Linked DNA regions of Caenorhabditis elegans. The protein of the gene in region 1 purifies or fractionates together with the protein of each later gene. This does not show direct contact. Each region holds a gene or a part of one and is shown on either strand. Other genes may lie near its edges.

What was found.
Region 2: the proteins of tag-335 (region 1) and sams-3 fractionate together in Caenorhabditis elegans (co-fractionation; one large-scale study listed by BioGRID). This does not show direct contact.

The regions. Positions count from the first base shown.
Region 1 is NC_003282.8:12,273,208-12,283,705, reverse strand, and holds tag-335 (Mannose-1-phosphate guanylyltransferase catalytic subunit beta), read left to right. Parts: upstream 1-5,111; 5' UTR 5,112-5,309; intron 5,310-5,653; 5' UTR 5,654-5,674; coding exon 5,675-6,455; intron 6,456-6,503; coding exon 6,504-6,622; intron 6,623-7,016; coding exon 7,017-7,121; intron 7,122-7,178; coding exon 7,179-7,271; 3' UTR 7,272-7,616; downstream 7,617-10,498. Other genes in the region: hpo-12 (Mitochondrial thiamine pyrophosphate carrier), read right to left, coding at 50-280, 331-507; C42C1.19 (Major facilitator superfamily (MFS) profile domain-containing protein), read right to left, coding at 700-838; C42C1.12 (PAP2_C domain-containing protein), read left to right, coding at 1,502-1,570, 1,622-1,773, 1,823-1,961; Aminopeptidase ltah-1.1, read right to left, coding at 2,072-2,183, 2,233-3,560, 3,610-3,948, 3,993-4,043; Protein-lysine methyltransferase vkmt-1, read right to left, coding at 4,207-4,659, 4,703-4,798, 4,860-4,931; vps-8 (Vacuolar protein sorting-associated protein 8 central domain-containing protein), read left to right, coding at 7,723-7,818, 7,869-8,022, 8,718-8,956, 9,009-9,509, 9,573-10,481. UniProt on the Caenorhabditis elegans protein: Catalytic subunit of the GMPPA-GMPPB mannose-1-phosphate guanylyltransferase complex. Catalyzes the formation of GDP-mannose, an essential precursor of glycan moieties of glycoproteins and glycolipids. Can catalyze the reverse reaction in vitro.
Region 2 is NC_003282.8:5,844,801-5,854,635, reverse strand, and holds sams-3 (putative S-adenosylmethionine synthase 3), read right to left. Parts: upstream 5,980-9,835; 5' UTR 5,949-5,979; coding exon 5,877-5,948; intron 5,832-5,876; exon of another isoform or gene 5,797-5,831; intron 5,749-5,796; coding exon 5,688-5,748; exon of another isoform or gene 5,319-5,687; coding exon 5,196-5,318; exon of another isoform or gene 5,095-5,195; coding exon 4,712-5,094; intron 4,661-4,711; coding exon 4,251-4,660; intron 4,205-4,250; coding exon 4,039-4,204; 3' UTR 3,793-4,038; downstream 1-3,792. Other genes in the region: C06E7.4 (SH2 domain-containing protein), read left to right, coding at 1,427-1,549, 1,979-2,103, 2,476-2,576, 2,636-2,942, 2,995-3,158, 3,519-3,707; sams-4 (putative S-adenosylmethionine synthase 4), read left to right, coding at 8,301-8,372, 8,598-8,658, 9,032-9,154, 9,256-9,638, 9,690-9,835. UniProt on the Caenorhabditis elegans protein: Catalyzes the formation of S-adenosylmethionine from methionine and ATP. The reaction comprises two steps that are both catalyzed by the same enzyme: formation of S-adenosylmethionine (AdoMet) and triphosphate, and subsequent hydrolysis of the triphosphate.

The DNA.
Region 1 (10,498 bases):
ATTTTGATCCCATCATAAGAAAACAAAAAAACTGAATAAAAATCCCTACCGCAGTCATCGCAAGACATCCACTGAGTGCTCCGCATGCAAAATCCGATGTAGACCGAACACTTTGATTATCTGCTGGAATCACTTTTGCGGCCTGCTGTGAGAGCCATTCGAACGAGGAAAACTGAACAAGTCCGTATGTAGCAGATAGTCCTTGAGCTGGAATGTGTCCTTTCCAAAAAGCATGAGCGCCTTCTTCTCGTGTAATCAAGAATATTGATTGCATTACACCCTAAAATAATATTTTTGAATTAAAATTGACAACAAAAAAAATAGTTTTACCTTATATTTTCCAGATTTCTTTCCACGAATCGGCTCCTCCTGGAGTTGAAATCTAATCTTGAGTACATCTAGTGGTTGAATAATCATCCGAGTGACAATTCCACTTGCAAGACCTGCTTCACTGTACTCCGCGGAGGTTAGCGGCTCATTTATGGCCTCCGGATGATAACCAACCATCGTCGAGTTCGCATTCGTGGCAGATCAAAAAAACATAAAGCTGCATAACAATCACAGAGAAGAAGACGAGAAGAGATTTAAAGACGAAGACAACAATATCAAAATATGAACGAGAAGGATAACAAATATTATGTGAATGAATAGTCTCAGGGCCTTTCACCAGTTTTGCATGCGCTTCGAGTAAAAACCAACCTATATCATCATTTGAAATCTGAATTTCCGTTCGAATTTGTGAGAGGAATGCAATTGGAAGTCGTCGAAAAAGCACATAAGCCACGTAAATGCAGAAAACGGCTCCGAATTTGAAATAATTGGTTGGAGACGTCGCCATCAATGATGTTCCTCGTGTTCCTAGGGCAGGTTTCTTCGTTTCATTGGAAATTGTTTTCAGAGAACAAAATGTTATAGAAAGGAAATGATTAAGCAAAAAGGAATGGTATTGAACAATTAGGGCAATTGTTCAGAGGGAAAATGACTGTTTGATTTTTAAGATGTCAAATAATGCCTAGAAATCGTTTTAGAGAGTGTGGGGATACAATAGTGGATTGATTTGTTACATTATACAAAAATAAGACTTGGGAAAAAAGTTAAGAAACTTTAAAATGCGTTTTTTTTAACTAAAAATGTAAAAAGAAATATTTACATAATATTAAAAACAAAACCCTGAAAAAAAAACAGTTCGGGCAACATTCTGCATTTTGTCGTAAAGTCTGGTGTTTGCGTACCACTCGAAGTTTGCTCGATTTTTTTTCAGACACCATTTTTTATTTTGTTATCAAAATATTAAAATTCTTTCAATCCCGATTTGAAATATTAGTTTCTAATTAAAAATATATTTAAATTGAAAATATAATTATTTAAGAATGCTTATTGATAAGCATGCCACCACATTGAAGTAAATATTTAAACAATCAAAACTTTTTCATATTAAAAACTGTCACCTTTTTTATCGTAATTATATATAATTATAATTACTATTGCAATTTTTCAGAAAATGAGTGCAACTGTAGAAGACGACGAGAATCCACCGCTCCAGAATGCAAAATTATTCGGACTTTTCAAGGTTAATCTTTTGTTTTCTTCCTCCAAACACATTTTATTAATTAATTTTCAGAATCCAGATCCTGGTTTTACGCAAACAGGAATTTCAATGTTCACAAATTTTGTGCTCACCAATATGTTTGTGTATGGAGTGACAGGACGTGCGAAATTGGCGTATGCACTCAGTATGATTTCCATTCCCTGCTCGGTCATTATAAGTGTTCGGTATTAGAATTCCCATTTTGGTTTATATAATAACTTTAACTACTTACAGAGATTCACAAAAAGATTATGATAAATGGAAAGAGATGCGATTACTACGTCTGAAAGGTGTACCAGAACGATTCATGCCGTACAAATGCAAGTACGACTGGTCAGACTATGATTTACGGAAGATTCGGGAAGAGAAATGAGCCGGGTACACTTGATAGGATCTTTACTTTTACAGTTCGATAATCGATTGATAAATAAAAATAATAAACGATGAAAAATTATGCGATGTACATGCGATAGAATTGTCTACTTATTTGAGAAGACTTTGGATTGCTTTCACAGTGATTGGATGCATATTTGGGATGTTTGCCTTGAATTGTGAGATGGCTCGATCACGTGTTGCACTCCATCCGAACAAAGATCTGAATTATAAATTTAAATTTAAGATTTTCAATATCATCTTATTTTCACCTGTAAATTGGTTTGCAATACTTCATTCTACCAACAGCCAACGCGAACGCTAGACTTGCATCAACAATCGGAGACCACTTCGTTTCGAGACCAAGCATCAGCCATGAGAATTTTAGCTCTGCATTTTTAGCCTGATCCAGTTTATAGGTGGCTGTCAACGCAGGCATTCGATCTCCAAACATAGTCTTGTTCACACGAACTGCATCGAGAACAGCAAGCTTTTGAGAATTAGACATCTTTGCGAAGACTTCTCCGTCAGTTGGTGCCTCGGATCCTTCTGTAGTCCATTTAGCGGCAAGATCCTTGCAAGCTTGCATCGGAGTTGAGTCATATTTTGGCTTTGGTGGAAGTCCGGCTTTGTGAAGCCACAAATTCCAGTCAATATTGTCCAGAATAACCTTCTTATCAGTGAATGAATCATAGAGATACTCTTTCCACTCTTCAGTAGAGACAGTTTTATAGGCATATTTTTGAATGTAATCTCTCAGGAACTGTTCAAAACGAGAATTATCACCCAGTGCCTGCTCAATTGTGAACAACAGTGCCGATCCTTTTTCGTATGGAACTGATGAAAAAGCGTCATCTGGGTCAGCATTTCCAAGATTTTGAACAAGTTTTGTATATTCATGATCTGGTCCAAAAACATCATTGACAGTGCGAACGAGAGCTTCTTCGTATCCACTTTCACTTTCAAATTGTCTCTCCAGTTCTCCGTACATTTTACCATGAATCTTTCTCTCCAAGAAAACTGTAAATCCTTCGTTTAGCCAGAAATGTTCCCAGGAGAAATTAGTGACGAGATTTCCAGTCCAACTGTGTGAAATTTCATGAGCAATAACGTTGACGAGACTGCGATCACCAGCAAGAAGAGTTGGAGTAATGAAAGTGAGACAAGGATTCTCCATTCCTCCAAATGGAAAAGTTGCTGGAAGAACAACCAAATCATATCTTCCCCAGACATACGGACCGGCAACATCCTCAGCAACTTTCAGAATTTTTTCAGTTTCAGCGAATTCGTAAAACGAAGCTTCTGCTTGAGATGGCTCGGCCCAGACGGCGCATCTTTCGCTGATTTCCTTCCGTTCCAAATGTCCAACAACAATCGCAAGAAGATACGATGGAATTGAAACTGGCTGTTTGAAAGAGAAAATTGTTCTTTTTCCACATTCAGATGGTGTTGATCCTTGTCCAATAGCTGACATAAGGCAGGTTAATCCAATTGGAACGCATACTTCAGCTTCGTAGGTACTTTTAACCGATGGAGTATCCATGCAGGGGACGATTGAACGAGCATTAATTGCTTGGCATTGAGAGAATAGATAAGGAGCCTGAATTATCAAAGATTTTAGAAAAGTGTACTTTAAATTTAAAAATCACAACTCTATCCGTGGTTTGTTCAGCAGTCAAAAATTGAAGAGCAGCCGCATTATTGCTGGATTCATACTTGATTTCGAGTACTGGCCTATCACCGGACTTCAAGCTTTCAGTTGTGATGACAAGTTTCTGCCCTAGAGCTTGATTGTCTTCCAATGTGAATCCAGCCTTTTTCGGCTCGCCGTTCAAATTCAAGGCGACTGATTGGACCGATAGATCACGAGTGTCCAGAACAATTCTTTCAGTATCCTGCTTAACATCCAACGTAATTGATACATCTCCAGCAATATGCTTTTTCTCAAAGTCAACTTTCCACTTGAGAGCGTAGTGGGAAACAGTGACCTGGAGTTAATTTTAAAAAATGAAAATGATAAATAATTTTATACCTGTTCATAGTTTGCAGCAGTAGAGGGATCTCTCGGATGTGGAGGTGCCATATTCTGAAATTGACAATTAGAAATATTTTATGTTACACTGGTGAGGTGTATACATCTAAAATGGAAAATATTTCAGTGGTATTATCAACCACATGATTGACATGGTTAAAACACAATAGAAATTGGAACGTTTATCAATGAAGAAATAACAATACATGTATGACTAGACATTTCTTATCAGTTTTCCTATAATTATATCGTCTGCACAATAGTCTTCATCAAGCTCCTTCTGAGGAATTAGCTCCAGGCGGAAGAACTTTTGAATATCCTTGAAAAATGATTTTTGAGCCAAATGAGCCTCTCCGATGTCCCTTTCCTCGCTGACCACCATAATTTCCTTTGCATCACAATCATTCAACAAGGTTATCAACGGATCTATAGTGCTGTTGTAGTATACACAATCAATTGCCAGAACCATATCCAGTCCTTCCGGTATTCTGTCCTTTGTCCAGTCGAGAACTTGAACTTTGATTCGATTTCCAGTCAATTTTCGATTTGCTTCAACATTTTTCTCAATTAACGCAAGTCTTTCTGGCAGGTCAGTAATGATGACATCAGCTCCAAGTGCGGCCAAAGCGATTCCTCCAACACCAGTTCCACTTCCAAGTTCCAAGACCTGAACAAAAACATATATTTTTGATAAAAACCTATAAATTCACTTTCTTGCCTTCAAAAGGTTTTGGGTATTTGAAAAAATAGTGAATAGTCATCAGTGCGCTGTCCCAAATCACTCCGCCGACATCCGTTACAGTTTCCTGAATGATTTTATAGAATTTTTTACAGAAATAGTCTTCGTAAATATATTAAATCAGTAACCTGATATATTATAAGCTCATCATGGTCGTTATTAAACGATATTACTCGCGCATATTCTTCACTTTCCGCCATATTCGATTGAGAGAACGAAAAAATTACTCCACTGTCAGTTCTCCACGAGGAGTACACGGCCGAGAAAAGTTGTTCGGGCCGAGACTCTTTTAAGGTTTTGTGGTATTCTCCTTTAATGAACACTGTAGCTTTATCGGATTTGGTTTTTCTGTTTTTCCAGTTTTCATGACATTTTCTTTTCTTTTTTTGTTTCATACTTGTTTTCTTTGTGCCAGAAACGCGCCCCATTGTGAAACAACACGACAAAAAGCTGAGTACAACGTGGAATTAGCATGCACTCAGTTGTTCCAACAGCTTTTGCCATTTCCTAGTTTTCCAAAGCTTTCGAAAATCGTTTTTGCATTCATAATGATGAAAAATTATTGGATAAAGCAAAAGGCGAGTGTTTCGTGTTTGGCATTTCACCGAAAGTTCTCAATTAAGTTCCTGTTCATCCTATATCCTTTCCTCCGAGAAAACCTGCCCGCTGAATGCTGACCTATATCAGTCAGGCGATTATCATTCAGTCTCAACTATATTATTGGTTCACATGGGAACAAAAATGGTTTATTTATTCAACAAGACAGTGGAGTAAAAAAGCGCCACGTCAGCCGCCCTCTCACTCCCTCTCTCTCTCTAATTGTATATGCACTATCAATTATACTCTCATATTTCATTTTCCCCCATTTCATCGAGCTCTTCATCAATTTTTCACTATTTTAATTTATTTTCATAATTTTCAGGTTGTTTCACCACTTCCATCAATGAAGGCGCTGATTCTAGTCGGAGGATACGGAACACGGTTGAGGCCGCTTACACTAACCCAGCCAAAACCTCTGGTCGAATTTGCCAACAAGCCGATGATGTTGCATCAGATGGAAGCGTTGGCTGAAGTAGGAGTCGATACAGTTGTTCTCGCTGTCAGTTACAGAGCAGAACAGTTGGAGCAAGAAATGACAGTTCATGCAGATAGACTTGGAGTCAAACTGATATTCTCTTTAGAAGAGGAACCTCTGGGAACTGCTGGCCCACTGGCTCTTGCTCGAAAACATTTGGAAGGCGATGCACCGTTTTTCGTTTTGAACAGCGACGTAATTTGTGATTTTCCCTTCAAACAAATGGTTGAATTCCACAAGAATCACGGAAAAGAAGGAACAATTGCCGTTACAAAAGTAGAAGAACCATCGAAATATGGAGTAGTAGTTTTCGATCAAGATAAAGGAAAAATTGATGATTTTGTGGAGAAACCACAGGAATACGTTGGTAACAAGATCAATGCAGGTCTCTACATTTTTAGCTCCAAAATTCTCGACCGCATCCCACTGAAACCTACTAGTATCGAGAAGGAAATTTTCCCCGAAATGGCATTCTCTGGAAATTTGTACGCTTTTGTACTTCCTGGCTTTTGGATGGATGTAGGTCAACCGAAAGATTTTCTCAAAGGAATGTCCCTTTTCCTAAATCATTGTCATACTACAAAATCCGATAAACTCGAAACAGGATCAAACATACATCCAACAGCTACTATTCGTGGAAATGTGATGGGTAAATGAATTAATTAGCAGAAATTAAATATTTTGTTCAATTTTTCAGTTGACCCATCGGCTACTGTTGGAGAAAATTGTGTGATTGGGCCAGATGTCGTTATTGGTCCACGTGTGAAGATCGAAGGTGGAGTTCGAATCCTGCACTCGACAATTCTTTCCGATTCGGTATGAGTTGATCTTGTCAGCTAGTGCCGGCCTGTATTTCTACACAATGAGCCAGTGTGGAATCAATTTTTTTAAAATTAAAATTTAGTGATGGAGTGTGGAAAAAGAATTGCTTCATTTGAAAATAGCTTTTATTTCAGTTGAAACTTACCGAAAAAACTTCTTCAAATTATCTATATTCCAGTATTCCAGTAATTTTCAACTCCAGACAATTTTGGAGCACTTTTTTCGATTTTTCAAATTGAAATAAAGTCTATTTTCAATTTTAAATTTTGATTAAAAATATTGATGCCACCCCGGCTCATTTTCTAGAATTGTTGGTCGGCAATGCGCCCATGGTTCAAAATTTATTGTGCTACATAAAATTATTAAATTTCATCAATTTTTTTTGCAGTCAATTGGCAACTATTCATGGGTTTCTGGAAGTATAGTTGGTCGAAAATGTCACATTGGAAGCTGGGTTCGTATCGAGAATATTTGTGTTATTGGAGATGATGTGGTAAGACGACATGAATTCGTTTGTTCTAATTGAAAACTTAAACATTTTAAATTACAGGTTGTAAAGGATGAATTATATCTCAACGGTGCCAGTGTCTTGCCACACAAGTCGATTGCTGTGAATGTTCCGTCGAAAGACATTATTATGTAAAATATATCAATTTTATTGATTCTTTATCGCACTCTTTAGTCATAACTCATTTTACCAAAGTGCCAACTTTCAAACTTGTGATATTTATTGTATTATTTGAATTAATTTAATTATGTGAAAATCAGTTTTTGTTTCCTGATAGGCGGGCTAAAAATCCAAATTTTCTCTTTCCACTTACTCGAAAATCTAAAATCTATAGATTAATCTATACAATCTACTGGGTGATTAATTGTATTCTTCAGGAATTTTATTGTTTTTATTTATTTTTAATCATGGCATGTTTTTCTTTCTCTGTTTTCTTGATTGCGCCGGTTGATTTCTTGTTAAATAAATTATTGTGGTTATTCGTTAATCATAGAAAATTGCTTGGTAAACGCCAAAATTGAAAAATATTGATGAAATGAAGTTTATTCCCTTCGAAAAAAATAATTGGCAACTCCAGTCTCGATAAATGAGCACATCTGGCTCATTAGAAAAGGAAGACTGGCTCGATTTGGGTGATCTTAACAATGCTCCAACATTTTCACTGGAAGATGCACTGAATGATGTAATCGATATAAAAATGATAAAGCTGAAAGTAAATCTATTAAATTTCAGACAGAAAACCTGAGTGATCCGTTTTTGGATGAACAATTCGCAGTTGATGGAGAATTCGGATCAGTCTCTAATTTGACAGAATCGACTGCACACTCTCCAGATTCACACTCTCTGACATATAAACTCGATTCAGCGTTTGTAATTCAACCACATCGTAAGAAAATAGACAAAAAAACGAATTTTTAAGATTTAGGACTCAAGGGTCTCGACACGACTGAAGAAAGTGCGTGCGCCTTTAAGGAATACTGTCGTATTCTTTCATTGTTTTTTAAAAAGTTTTCGCTTTGTTTTTTCTAGAGTTCTTTGCATATTTTCAAATTTAATGAAAGAGGAAGTAACCCAAAAGTACTGGATTTAAATTAAATTTTAAAAACATTTTATTTCAAACTTTCAAAAAAAACCAGAGCTTGCTGAAATCTGAAATTTTGCCAACTTTTCTTTGCCGCAGCAGCTGGAATACATTTTTTATTCTATTATCACCTTTATTGCATATTTTGATAGTTTATCTCGCATTAAATCGTTGGTTTAGGCACATTTCGAGGATATCTCAATCAAAAATAATCGAAATTGGATGTTTATCGGCTTAAAATGTGCCTGAATACACGAAATGTTTATAATGTTCAAAAAATTTGCCATAAAATGGTGATATTTCAATGAAAACTGGCTACCAGCCACCACCACGAGAACAACGTTTACGATCTTTCAGCAAAATGTTATCTTTTTTTTCGAAATTTTCAGACATTTGGGTCATTTTTTGACTCTTAAAAAACGTTTTGGTCGTCTCAAGATCCTAATTTTTTTCGCATCTTTATAATATTACATACACATAAAATTCAATATTTTGTTCAGAAGTAATATCCCATCAAATTCTCTCAAATGAAAAGAAGACTGGACGAGTGATTGCTGTTGCTGAAAGAAATGGATGGATCGCAGTGGTCACAAGTAAAGGACAACTGCTTCTTTTCGATTTAAATGGAAATCTTAATCAATTTCATCGTGGCGATGAGACAATGGGAGGAGCAAGCTGTGTGACGTTTTCGTTGGATGGAAAATTTCTGGCGATTGGCTTGCAGAAAGGAGCTATTAAAGTGGGGAACTCAACAAAAAGTTAAAATTTAAATTTAAAAAAAATTATTTCAGATAATGACCATCGACAATAAGCTCTATCATATGATTGACGAAGGTGGGCAGCCTGGACAGGGAATTATACAAGTTATCTACACAAAAGACAATCACACTGTGCTGACTCTCGATAATGGTGGAAGTTTTTACGAATGTACAATCAGTAAACCTTGGCTTCAAAAACGAAAAGATAAGCTAAGATGTCACGTGTCGGGATGCAATGGAGAGGTTATCTCGATGAAAATGATGCCTGGAGATGTTATTGCACTTTTATCAGTTCATAGGCTAATTTTCTATATTCTGAAACCTCGAGGTCAAATTCTTGGCATTTTCCCTATCAAATTCGAATACCAATTTCCGCCTGCCTGCTCATTCTGGCTAGGAACTCCGAAAACAGCTATCAACTCACCGCTAAACTCTCTTTATTCAACAACTTTGAAAGACTTCCGAGTTTGCATAAGTCGTGGAAACAAGTTGGCAATTCTCAGAATACACGCGAACAACTTTTTCACCAAATATGTAAGTTTAGAAAAGAAAAAATAGATGTAGTTAAATACTTACTACTGAAAATTAAATTTGCAGCGACGTGCTACCGTAATCCGACAACTAGAATTACCATGCTCACTTGTAAATATTCACTGGATGAGTAATCACATGATTGTTGGAATCGATTCATTTGGAGCCGTTTGGCAAATTGATCCTGAAAAGGGGACAGCGAAAAAACAAGATATTGAAGATCTTCAACTAGTCTTTTCAACACCAATTCTTAAAGGATCAGCAACAGGAGGAAGAGTCAGTGAAGCAGTAAAAGCTGTTGCAGAATTCGCATGTTATCAATCTGTGACGTCAGCAACATCTACTTCAGAACGACTTATCGTCTTGGCTCACGATGGTCTCAAATATTTGGAGAAAGTTCATGAATGGGAGCAATTAGAAAGATATAAAGAACGAAACGATGTGATTTCAGCATCCCTTTATCTATTGGATGTCTGTCGTGATAAAGTACGAGCCAGTGAGATGTTCAAACGAGAATCACATAGTCTTTTAGCTGAAAAAGCGCACAGTCTTCTAACCGAAACAGTAGCAGGAGTCGGTGGAGGTGCATTGTCAGATCTGTTGGCTCATTACAGAAAATATATTCGAGTTCTACTGAAAGTCTGTATCACTGGACGACTATTGGATTTTCTTTACATAGCTTGTTGGGATCGACTATCTATGGATTCTCTTTCGAAAACTGTATTCTTGGATCATCTGGATGAATATGTTCTCGATGGAGCTCTCATTGACCCTCCACCTCCACTTGTCAACGAATATCTACAACATCTTGCTGCAGAAGGACATTTCTCACAGTTTCAGTCAGCAGTTGTTCGCTTTCCAATTCATACGCTTGATCTTCATACAGTTATGTCAATTTGCAAGCAGAATTCAATATATGATGGAATCATTTATGTGAATAACAAGGCACTTAATGATTATATAACTCCATTAGAGGTTAAAAATATATTCAA
Region 2 (9,835 bases), 6.4 Mb from region 1:
AATTATAACACAAAAGTGTTCCGGGTCATGGGTCACGCACTATTAAGATGAAGGAATCGACAAGGAGAACGGGACCATTTGATTGTATGGTTTAGGGGAAGAAACGGCGGAGGGGTTATTAAGGAACAATATGACCCTTTGCGGGAATGAGTCGTTTTTTTTTGAATTAGAGTGGTTGAGAATGCCCACTAATTGGTAGAGAGAGAGAAAGAAAGAATGTGGAAATATAGTAGTGCATGGATTTTGTAAAGATTGGGGGCTTGTCTTTTCTACTGCCTGCCTTGTGCCTACGTGCAAGCCTTGCGTGAAATTAAAAAATTTTTTTTTTAATTTTCACAGTTTCAACAAATAGTTAATATGTGGAAGCAAAATATGCTCTAATTTGAAATCCACTTTTATAATAGACAAAAATTTCAAAAAATCGTTTCACTATGGTATCTCTCTAGGCACTAACACAGGTCAGTTTAGCTCTATATAGTCCACCTTTCAGCATCTGTGTTAGTGCTTAGATGCAGAAAAAGGTAGAGGTAAAGCAGGCACAAAGGCATGCAACCTGCCTACCATGAAATTTTTTTTTTGGATTTACTTTTCATAATCCTTCTTCCCAGACGATCGAGGTTCAAGGTTAATTCGCCGTTACGGTTTCCCTAAAAAAGAATTCTCAAATCTTCAAAGCCTCAAACAGGCCATTTTCACCAGCGAACAAAAAAAAACCCATTTGAAATGTCTTCACGCTAATCTCAGCTGTAAATCTTTCCTCTTTTCACCGGATGTTCGGGAGGAACAGATGACCGAAAATGAGTGAAAAAGAACTGGATGAATGTCGAACAAAACATGTATCGGGAAAAACGAGAAAGTGACGGTTAAAAAGAAATTCGAATGGGTGATGGATTTAACATGAAAAAAAGGGAAAAAACAACTGTATTGCTAATGGACTCAATTGTCAAATAGATCCTCCCAATTTGTAGCAATTTAGAGTTCCGGTTGCAAAACTTGAATATTCTGAATAAGGGTTAAATGTGGACTATCGTCAGTGAGGATTTAGTTTAAATAGATCTTAAATAGTCCAAAATTACCAAAAAAAATACACTTCAAAAAAAGTTCGAATTTATAAATTGCGGTAAAACAACTACAGCATTTTGGCAAAATGCCAAAGCTTCAAAAAATGTATAAATTTCGTTTGGAACCACTTATTTTTGAACGACTTTTCGAAATAACTACAGGTGAAAACTAAATTGTTTCCACTTTTTTAAAACTTCAAATTAAAACAGCTTGAAATTATTTTGAAATGTTTCATTATGATATTTGGACTTTATAAAACTATAGCTACGGTTTTAAACAAATTACCTACTCATTGTATGCCTTTTAGTTTAATATTAGGATGCACAAGATGTATACATATATCGATTAATCGATTAATTTCCAGAATGCACGAAGCACCTGAAATCGACGTTCGAATGCGTCAACGTGACTGGAGAACTTCTGATGAGCGACGAGGATTACCAACAAGACGAGAAACACAGAGCCAATATGTGAAGCATAATTACTCGTGAGTTACTTTATTCAAGTTTGGGAATTTCATTGAAACAACTTGTTTTAGTTTTGCACAAGATTGTGGTGCGATCGTTTTTGGTGCAATAATAATTTTTTGAAATTATATTCCAAAACTTTTTTTCATGAATTCCAAATAGTGATAATCAACAAATATTTCATAGAATCTTATCAACTATTTTGCAAAAAAATTCCTCAAATTTTTTAATTTCCAACAGCTCTAATTCCACCAAAAATAGTTATCAAAAAACTGTCAGTTCTCAAATTTTGTGGAAATAATTTGAGGTCTTTTTTTCTTTTCTAATTTTTTAAAGGTAATATAGATTTGTAGAAATACTCTGTAAACTAAAAAATTTCAGTCTCTTGAATTCAATACAGCAAAACATTTACCAATTTGAGTGCTATAAAATATATGTTCAATTTTCAGAAGCACCAACCGCCGAGCCGAACTTAACGGCTCGCTGGCTTCATCGTCCCCAATGACATCATCAGAAGAAGGTGGACATTCTTCAGATCCATGGAACACATCTAGCATTTCTTCAGGAAAACGAGGTATAGATTTGAGAAATTAAAAAGAAGGTGAATAAAACGTGAATTCACTGGAAATTTTATAACAATTGTGAAACCGAAATTATTTTTTAATAGAAAAATGAGAAATCTTATTGGTCTTGTTCCACTTTGACGCTTTATAGCTCGGTTCTTTTTGATTTTACCAGAATTTTTTACGGACGAAGCACGTGAAAAATATTCTTCTATATTTTAATTTGTTTTCATAAAACTAAAAATGACCGTATATGAGCCGCTAAAGTGAAGCAGTGCAAGCTCCAATAGGAAAAATATGATATCTGAAACTTTTTTAAAAACCAGAAAAATTACAGATTCTGAACAAAAAAGATTTTTTTTGGAACACATCTTTAACTTCAGACATTATCTCGCCACCAATGTACAGTAGCACACCACATCACCACAATCACCACAATCACCAGCAACTTCAGCATCATCAGGTCATCAAGTCTCCACAACCTGTAAGATTTAAAAATTTCCCCAATACTATTTATTGAATCCTATGTTTTTACTTTTCCAGCCAATCACAAAAACGATAGAAGTAAAAGTTGAGCGAAGTGAAAAAGTGGAGCAACAGGTGTCGGAGCCCACAAAAAGAGCACCACCAACTGCAGCCCAGACAGCCTCTTCAACGTCATCACGGATTCAACATAATCAAACATTGAATAATTCAAATGCAACATATGCTCAACCAATAATCCGTCGTCAACCATCATATGGCTCGAGATCTTCGTCAATTGCCACGTCACAAATGAGATGTGATCAATCGGAAATTGATTTTTCATGGGTTAATGAGGAAGAGGACAAACTGAAGAGAGAATCAAAACGTTGGTTTTTTTTTAGTTTTCGATGATTTTTGACTAAATAATAATATTCCAGGAATCGATAGTCTTCCTGAATTCTACTTCGGAATGGATCCTCCACCAGTTCCAAGTGATAATGAGAAGGAGAACGATGAGAAGAGAAACAGACGGAAGAGTAGTGTGCTGGAAAAGACTGCGGCTTTCGAGATTGAAGCAAGAAGAAATGATCGGAAGGAGCCGGTTAGTTATTACGGAAGCACAAAATTCTTAGAATGCGTATTGCACCACATATTTGACCATGCAAAATATCTCGTAACGAAAACTACAGTAATTCGTTAAATGACTACGGTAGCTCTTGTGTCGATTTACTGACCTGATTTCCTTCGTTTCTTCGTATTAATTTCATTCTTTGTTTAACATTCTACCGATAAATAAATCAAAGATGCCAAAAAGAGCCCGTAAATCGACACAAGCGCTATAGTATTAGTAATTTTAGGATTTTTTACTGTAGCTTTCGCTACGAGATATCTTGCGCGTAGAATTTTGTGGTGTTTCTGTAATAGTTGTAATTTGAACTCCTAATAATTAGATATTTTCCAGTCATTCCTGTCACGATCCAGTCATCAATTACTGACGACGTCTGAAATCCCACCGGCTGATTATTCCCCACTCTCAATCCACACGAAAGAGATTGGCGGTCCTGCTGAACGTCGAATTTATCGAATTCAGAAGCAACAGCAGCAGCATTCATCTGAAGATCGTCGTTACCGAAGCAGTATTGCGTTTTGAATATTATCCGTCATTCCCAAACTCCATCTACTCGTGCCTCATTTCGATTCGTCTTCGCTCAATTTTCTTTCACAAAAATTATTCTCAATAAATGATTTTTTATAAGGTCTTATATTGAAAAAGGAAAGGGGATAGATAGATTATTTGAAGAAATTGGGGAGGAATTTGGGATTTGAAATCTGAAGTATGTGGATATCGAGGATATTGCGGAAATACAGGTAAACAAGTGAGGATGGGATAAGAGAAAAATGCAATTAGAACTGAATAAAACAATGGTTATTAGAGAAAACAAGAAACAATCAAAACAACAAATGAATCAGACATTGTACAATCAATGGGCAATTCCATTTCCGTTTGAGATCGTTTTTCCTCCAATCTTTTTAAGAAGTTCAACATCAATCTGAAGATGACGTGGCTGCTCCCATGGGAATTCATTGTGTCCAAAGTGTCCGTTCTCAGCGGTTGGTTCATAAATTGGTTTCTTCAAATCGAGATCCCTGAAACTTTACAATTAACAAAAATATTAGTTTGTGGCTGACATACTTAATAATCATTCCAGGTCGCAAATCAAAGTTGTCATTGACAATTTTCAATAGTTCTCCTTCGTTCAACGCAGATGTCCCGAAAGAGAACACCATCACTGAAAGTGGTTTGGCTACTCCGATTGCATAAGATACTTGAACAAGACAACGGCGACAGAGTCCTGATTTGACAAGTGACTTGGCAACCCAACGAGCAGCATATGCGGCAGAACGATCGACTTTGGTTGGGTCTTTTCCAGAGAAAGCACCTCCTCCGTGAGCTCCCCATCCTCCGTAGGTATCAACGATGATCTTACGTCCAGTAAGTCCAGCATCTCCCATTGGTCCTCCAATAATGAATGATCCACATGGATTGAGATGATAGATGGTCTTGTCGTCGATGAGATTGGCAGGAATTACAGCTTTGATAACCTAAAACCGAACAATAAATATAGCTGTATTTTTATTAATATTTTTAATTACCTTTTCGATGAGTTCCTTTCTCAAATCATCGAGACTGATATCTGGAGAATGTTGGGTGGAGATAACAACAGTGTGGACGCGTAGTGGGACACATGCTCCTCCTTCCGAAGCATATTCGATTGTGACTTGGGTCTTCGAGTCCGGACGAACCCATTCGAGCTCTCCAGATCTACGGAGCTCGTGAAGCTTCCGGTTCAGCTTGTGAGACAAGAGAAGAGTCAATGGCATCGCTTCTTCGGTTTCATCAGTAGCATATCCAAACATAATTCCTTGATCTCCGGCTCCGACATCGTCACTATCCTTGTCCACGTGGACTCCAGCAGCGATTTCAGGTGATTGTTGTTCGAGTGCAACAAGAACATTGCATGTCTTGTAATCGAATCCTGAAATTGAATACTGTATTTAATCAATAAACCAAGAAAATGAGATTCCTGACACAATGTGATGAGCCAATAGTGTAGAAACGAAATTATATTCTTCATACCTTTCGAGGAATCATCGTATCCAATTTTCTTAATGACGTTTCGGACGAGAACCTGGTAGTCGACGACAGCTTTCGAGGTGATCTCACCGCACAACATGATCATACCCGTTTTAGTCACCGTTTCTGTAATCAAAGTAACCGTTGTAACAGGTAAAGAAACATATTGTTGCGATAAGCTTCAGCCCCGTTTCCCGCATCATCCAACACCCGTAGAGCCTGAAATCAGAGACATGAATAGGCGATAAATGCAAAAGAACTACAGTGAACGGTACGAGTTCACTGTTGATCCTTCTGCAAATCAAATTCACAACACAAATATCAATATCATGTTAACACGATGTGTGTGTACTGAATGTGACCGCCTGACTTCCATGTCTTCCGCCGAATCTCTGAACGTTGTTAGGGGATAATAATTAGGACTTTTGCTCATCGCAGTTCCATATTGTTGTTGAACTTTCGCTGAAGGATATCAAGAAGTCCTGAACCACTTACCACATGCAACCTTTGCGTGAGGATCTTGAGCCAAATGAGCATCAAGAACAGCGTCCGAGATCTGAAAATAGAAATCTTCGTTTGAGAAATGACGCGAAGAATGGCTGACATCAAAAATATATACGCATTTTCGAAACCATGAAACTAAAAAAAACCTGGCACCTTATTAATGTTTCGTTGGTTACTTACCTGGTCACACATCTTGTCAGGATGCCCTTCAGAGACAGATTCGGAGGTGAAAAGGAACTTGTGTTGCGACATTTTGTTTGGTTGTAAGGTTGAAACACTTCGTCTGAAAATAGTGGTTCGGTTTGGATTAATAAATAGAAACGGAAAGGGAAGAAGGAACGAATAAGAGGCGGAGCACCTCGTAGCAAAACGATCAAGTTGAATAAACATTATTTTTTGCAAATAAAACTACTGTGAAATGTTTGAAATGAAACATTTGAAGCCATAATAGAGCCCAAAACTGAAAATTAGAAAATCGATAACTAGCCACATACTCCCAAACTCAAATAGCTTTTGTAAATAATTGTTTCGAATAAAATAAAATTTCTGGTAATACAAAGAATCCGGATAACACATGAACATTTACAGAAATATCTGGAGAAAGATTATATATGGCTCGGAACTTTGTTGAGCAGTTATTTTAGCGAAAAATTAAAATATTCGTGTAAATTTAATTAAAATTCTTGTGAAAATTAGAAACAAATATGCGAAAAATGCACAAAAAAAAGGCCCAAAAAATCCAGAAATTGTCAAAGTCCGCAAACACCGTGAGCAACTGTCACGTACAATGCCCAACACATTACGACACTTGTAAAAACACTTTTTTCCATTTTCTTCATTTTCTATGCAAATTTCTATAAATCTGCTGGCTTTTTTGAATTTTCGTCGCATTTTATTCGAATTTTAGCCGATCCTTAAACTAGAATTTAACAGCTGTCTCACGGATGGCGATAAATGTTCTAGATTAGATCTGTTTCGCTAATTAGAAACTGGAAATATCTGAAAGCTTTCCCCTATCATGAATAGATCGAAATAATCGAGATATGAGATTCCTAGATATCGGAATTAACAAGAAAAGTTACGGAAAAATATCGAATATCGTATTAATTGTTTTTTCTGCTTGATTAGGTTTAAAAAGGCTTTAAAATCCGTTTTTTTCAGTGAAAAATCACTGTTCTATTTGAGATATAATTTATTTTTCTATTTAACCCACGTGTTTGTTAAATACGATTAAACATTTTGGAAGTAGTTTCATCATTCTTACAGTTTCTCGATAATTGAGCAAAACACCATGACAAAAAGCAAGTGAGACTACAAACTTAAAAGTACAAGGCCAATTCTTATTTACCAAGTTGCTATTTGTTCTAAATTAGAACCTGTTTTCTTGATTCCTTTGCTTTTTAAAGTTTACATTACTGATAATGGCTACTATAATCCGTTCCTAAAGTCTAGAGTATTTGCTTTTTTCATGTTGTGGAAACTGAGCTTCTGCGCTTTTACAAAAGGGCAAAGTCTATTGATTTTCTGCAAATTGAATAGTTTCATGATCATATATCCATTAGCACAATTACACTGTTAGAGGAAATAAAAACAAATATGAATTTGAGGAGAGCGATGAAAATCGTATGATCAAACATAAAAAAGTATGTCAAAGTTTTGCAATAACTTTGTTCAGGCCGATTTTGCCCTCTCGACAGCTTTTTTTCTTGCAAACGATGTTCTGCACAATAGTATAGGCTGGGAATGATCTTGTTGCAATAATAATACTTTTAAAAAGAATTGAGTAAAAACGTGATAACATAGTGAACTCGGCTATATCCACACGTGAAAACGTGAAATTTTATCAAAATTTCTCGGAGTGCATAACATTAAAAAAAACATTGACCGTTTCATCGTCGAAGAGTGTAAGTGAGTTGTCTTTATCTGCTGAAGCTTTCAATAAGGTTCAGCGAGACTTCAATTCCGAAGATTTTTTGTCCGTGTTCCCGGTTCATCTGTACAATCTTCGAACGCATATTTCGAAAGTTTTAGACATTTATTTTTCTAGATTGTAAACGTCGCCTGTCTTGTTCTCTAAGACTTTTATATATTTTTCCTTATCTCGATTTATGTTCTTCAAAAATATGACAGTAAAACTTCCTCAGTGTTCTTATTTCTAAACATCGTATATTTATATAAATATTATTGTGGTGTTTCAAATAACACGTGTTTCATAATTCCTCATCCTTAGATAACGGTTTGCCCTTAGAATTGTTTTGATCCTTCTTTTTTCGAAAATTCTCGCTCCCTTTTTCTCTAAATCTCTGTAGTTTTCTGATGATCTAGGTTCAACCTTCATGGTATAAAAGTAGAGCTTTCCGGGCTAATATTCACACTTGTCTCGCAAAAAAATTGTGTTTTATTGCAATCTAAAAAACGCCCTCAAAACTATACTTTAGAGCAACGTGTTTCCAACAAGACGCAGAGTATTGTGTCTCTCTTTGTTGCGTGGCGCTCCGCCCTCTATTCAACCCACCTCCGCTTCCTCGCTTTCCTTTATTTATTTGAGCTAAATATCATCGCTCTTTCAGACGGACGCTTTCAAACATCCATCAACGAAATAAAATGCCGCAACACAAGTTCCTTTTCACCTCCGAATCTGTCTCCGAGGGGCATCCCGACAAGATGTGTGACCAAGTAAGTTATATTTGATAAGAAATCGTCTTTTCCAGATAAACAAATCCATCAAATTTTTTGATTGGAAATACGCTACTGTTGAAAAAAAAAATCTGTCAAGTTCGTAAAAAGTTAGTTATGGGACAAAATGTGTATAGTTTCAAACAAAACGTTATCTCCGAAGCGTAGAAAATTGGCCCACGTGCTCGAAAGCAGCTGTCTATCATTCTCATGTTTGTTTTTCAGATCTCGGACGCTGTTCTTGACGCTCATCTGGCTCAAGACCCTCACGCTAAGGTTGCTTGTGGTGAGTGATTCAGGACTTTTGGATATCCTCCAACGAAATGTCAACAACAACATGGAGCTGCGATGAGCAAAAGTCCCAATTATTATCCGTACAACATTCAGAGATTCGGCGATATGGAAGACAGGCGGTCAGATTCAATACACTCGCGTCGTGTTAACCTCAGAATTAACATGATATTGATATTTGTGTTGTGAATTTGATTTGCAGAAGGATCAACAGTGAACTCGTACCTATCACTGTGGTTCTTTTGCATTTCGCCTATTCATGTCTCTGATTTCAGGCTCTACGGGTGTTGGATGATGCGGGAAACGGGGCTGAAGCTTATCGCAACAATATGTTTCTTTACCTGTTACAACGGTTACTTTGATTACAGAAACGGTGACTAAAACGGGTATGATCATGTTGTGCGGTGAGATCACCTCGAAAGCTGTCGTCGACTACCAGGTTCTCGTCCGAAACGTCATTAAGAAAATTGGATACGATGATTCCTCGAAAGGTATGAAGAATATAATTTCGTTTCTACACTATTGGCTCATCACATTGTGTCAGGAATCTCATTTTCTTGGTTTATTGATTAAATACAGTATTCATTTTCAGGATTCGATTACAAGACATGCAATGTTCTTGTTGCACTCGAACAACAATCACCTGAAATCGCTGCTGGAGTCCACGTGGACAAGGATAGTGACGATGTCGGAGCCGGAGATCAAGGAATTATGTTTGGATATGCTACTGATGAAACCGAAGAAGCGATGCCATTGACTCTTCTCTTGTCTCACAAGCTGAACCGGAAGCTTCACGAGCTCCGTAGATCTGGAGAGCTCGAATGGGTTCGTCCGGACTCGAAGACCCAAGTCACAATCGAATATGCTTCGGAAGGAGGAGCATGTGTCCCACTACGCGTCCACACTGTTGTTATCTCCACCCAACATTCTCCAGATATCAGTCTCGATGATTTGAGAAAGGAACTCATCGAAAAGGTAATTAAAAATATTAATAAAAATACAGCTATATTTATTGTTCGGTTTTAGGTTATCAAAGCTGTAATTCCTGCCAATCTCATCGACGACAAGACCATCTATCATCTCAATCCATGTGGATCATTCATTATTGGAGGACCAATGGGAGATGCTGGACTTACTGGACGTAAGATCATCGTTGATACCTACGGAGGATG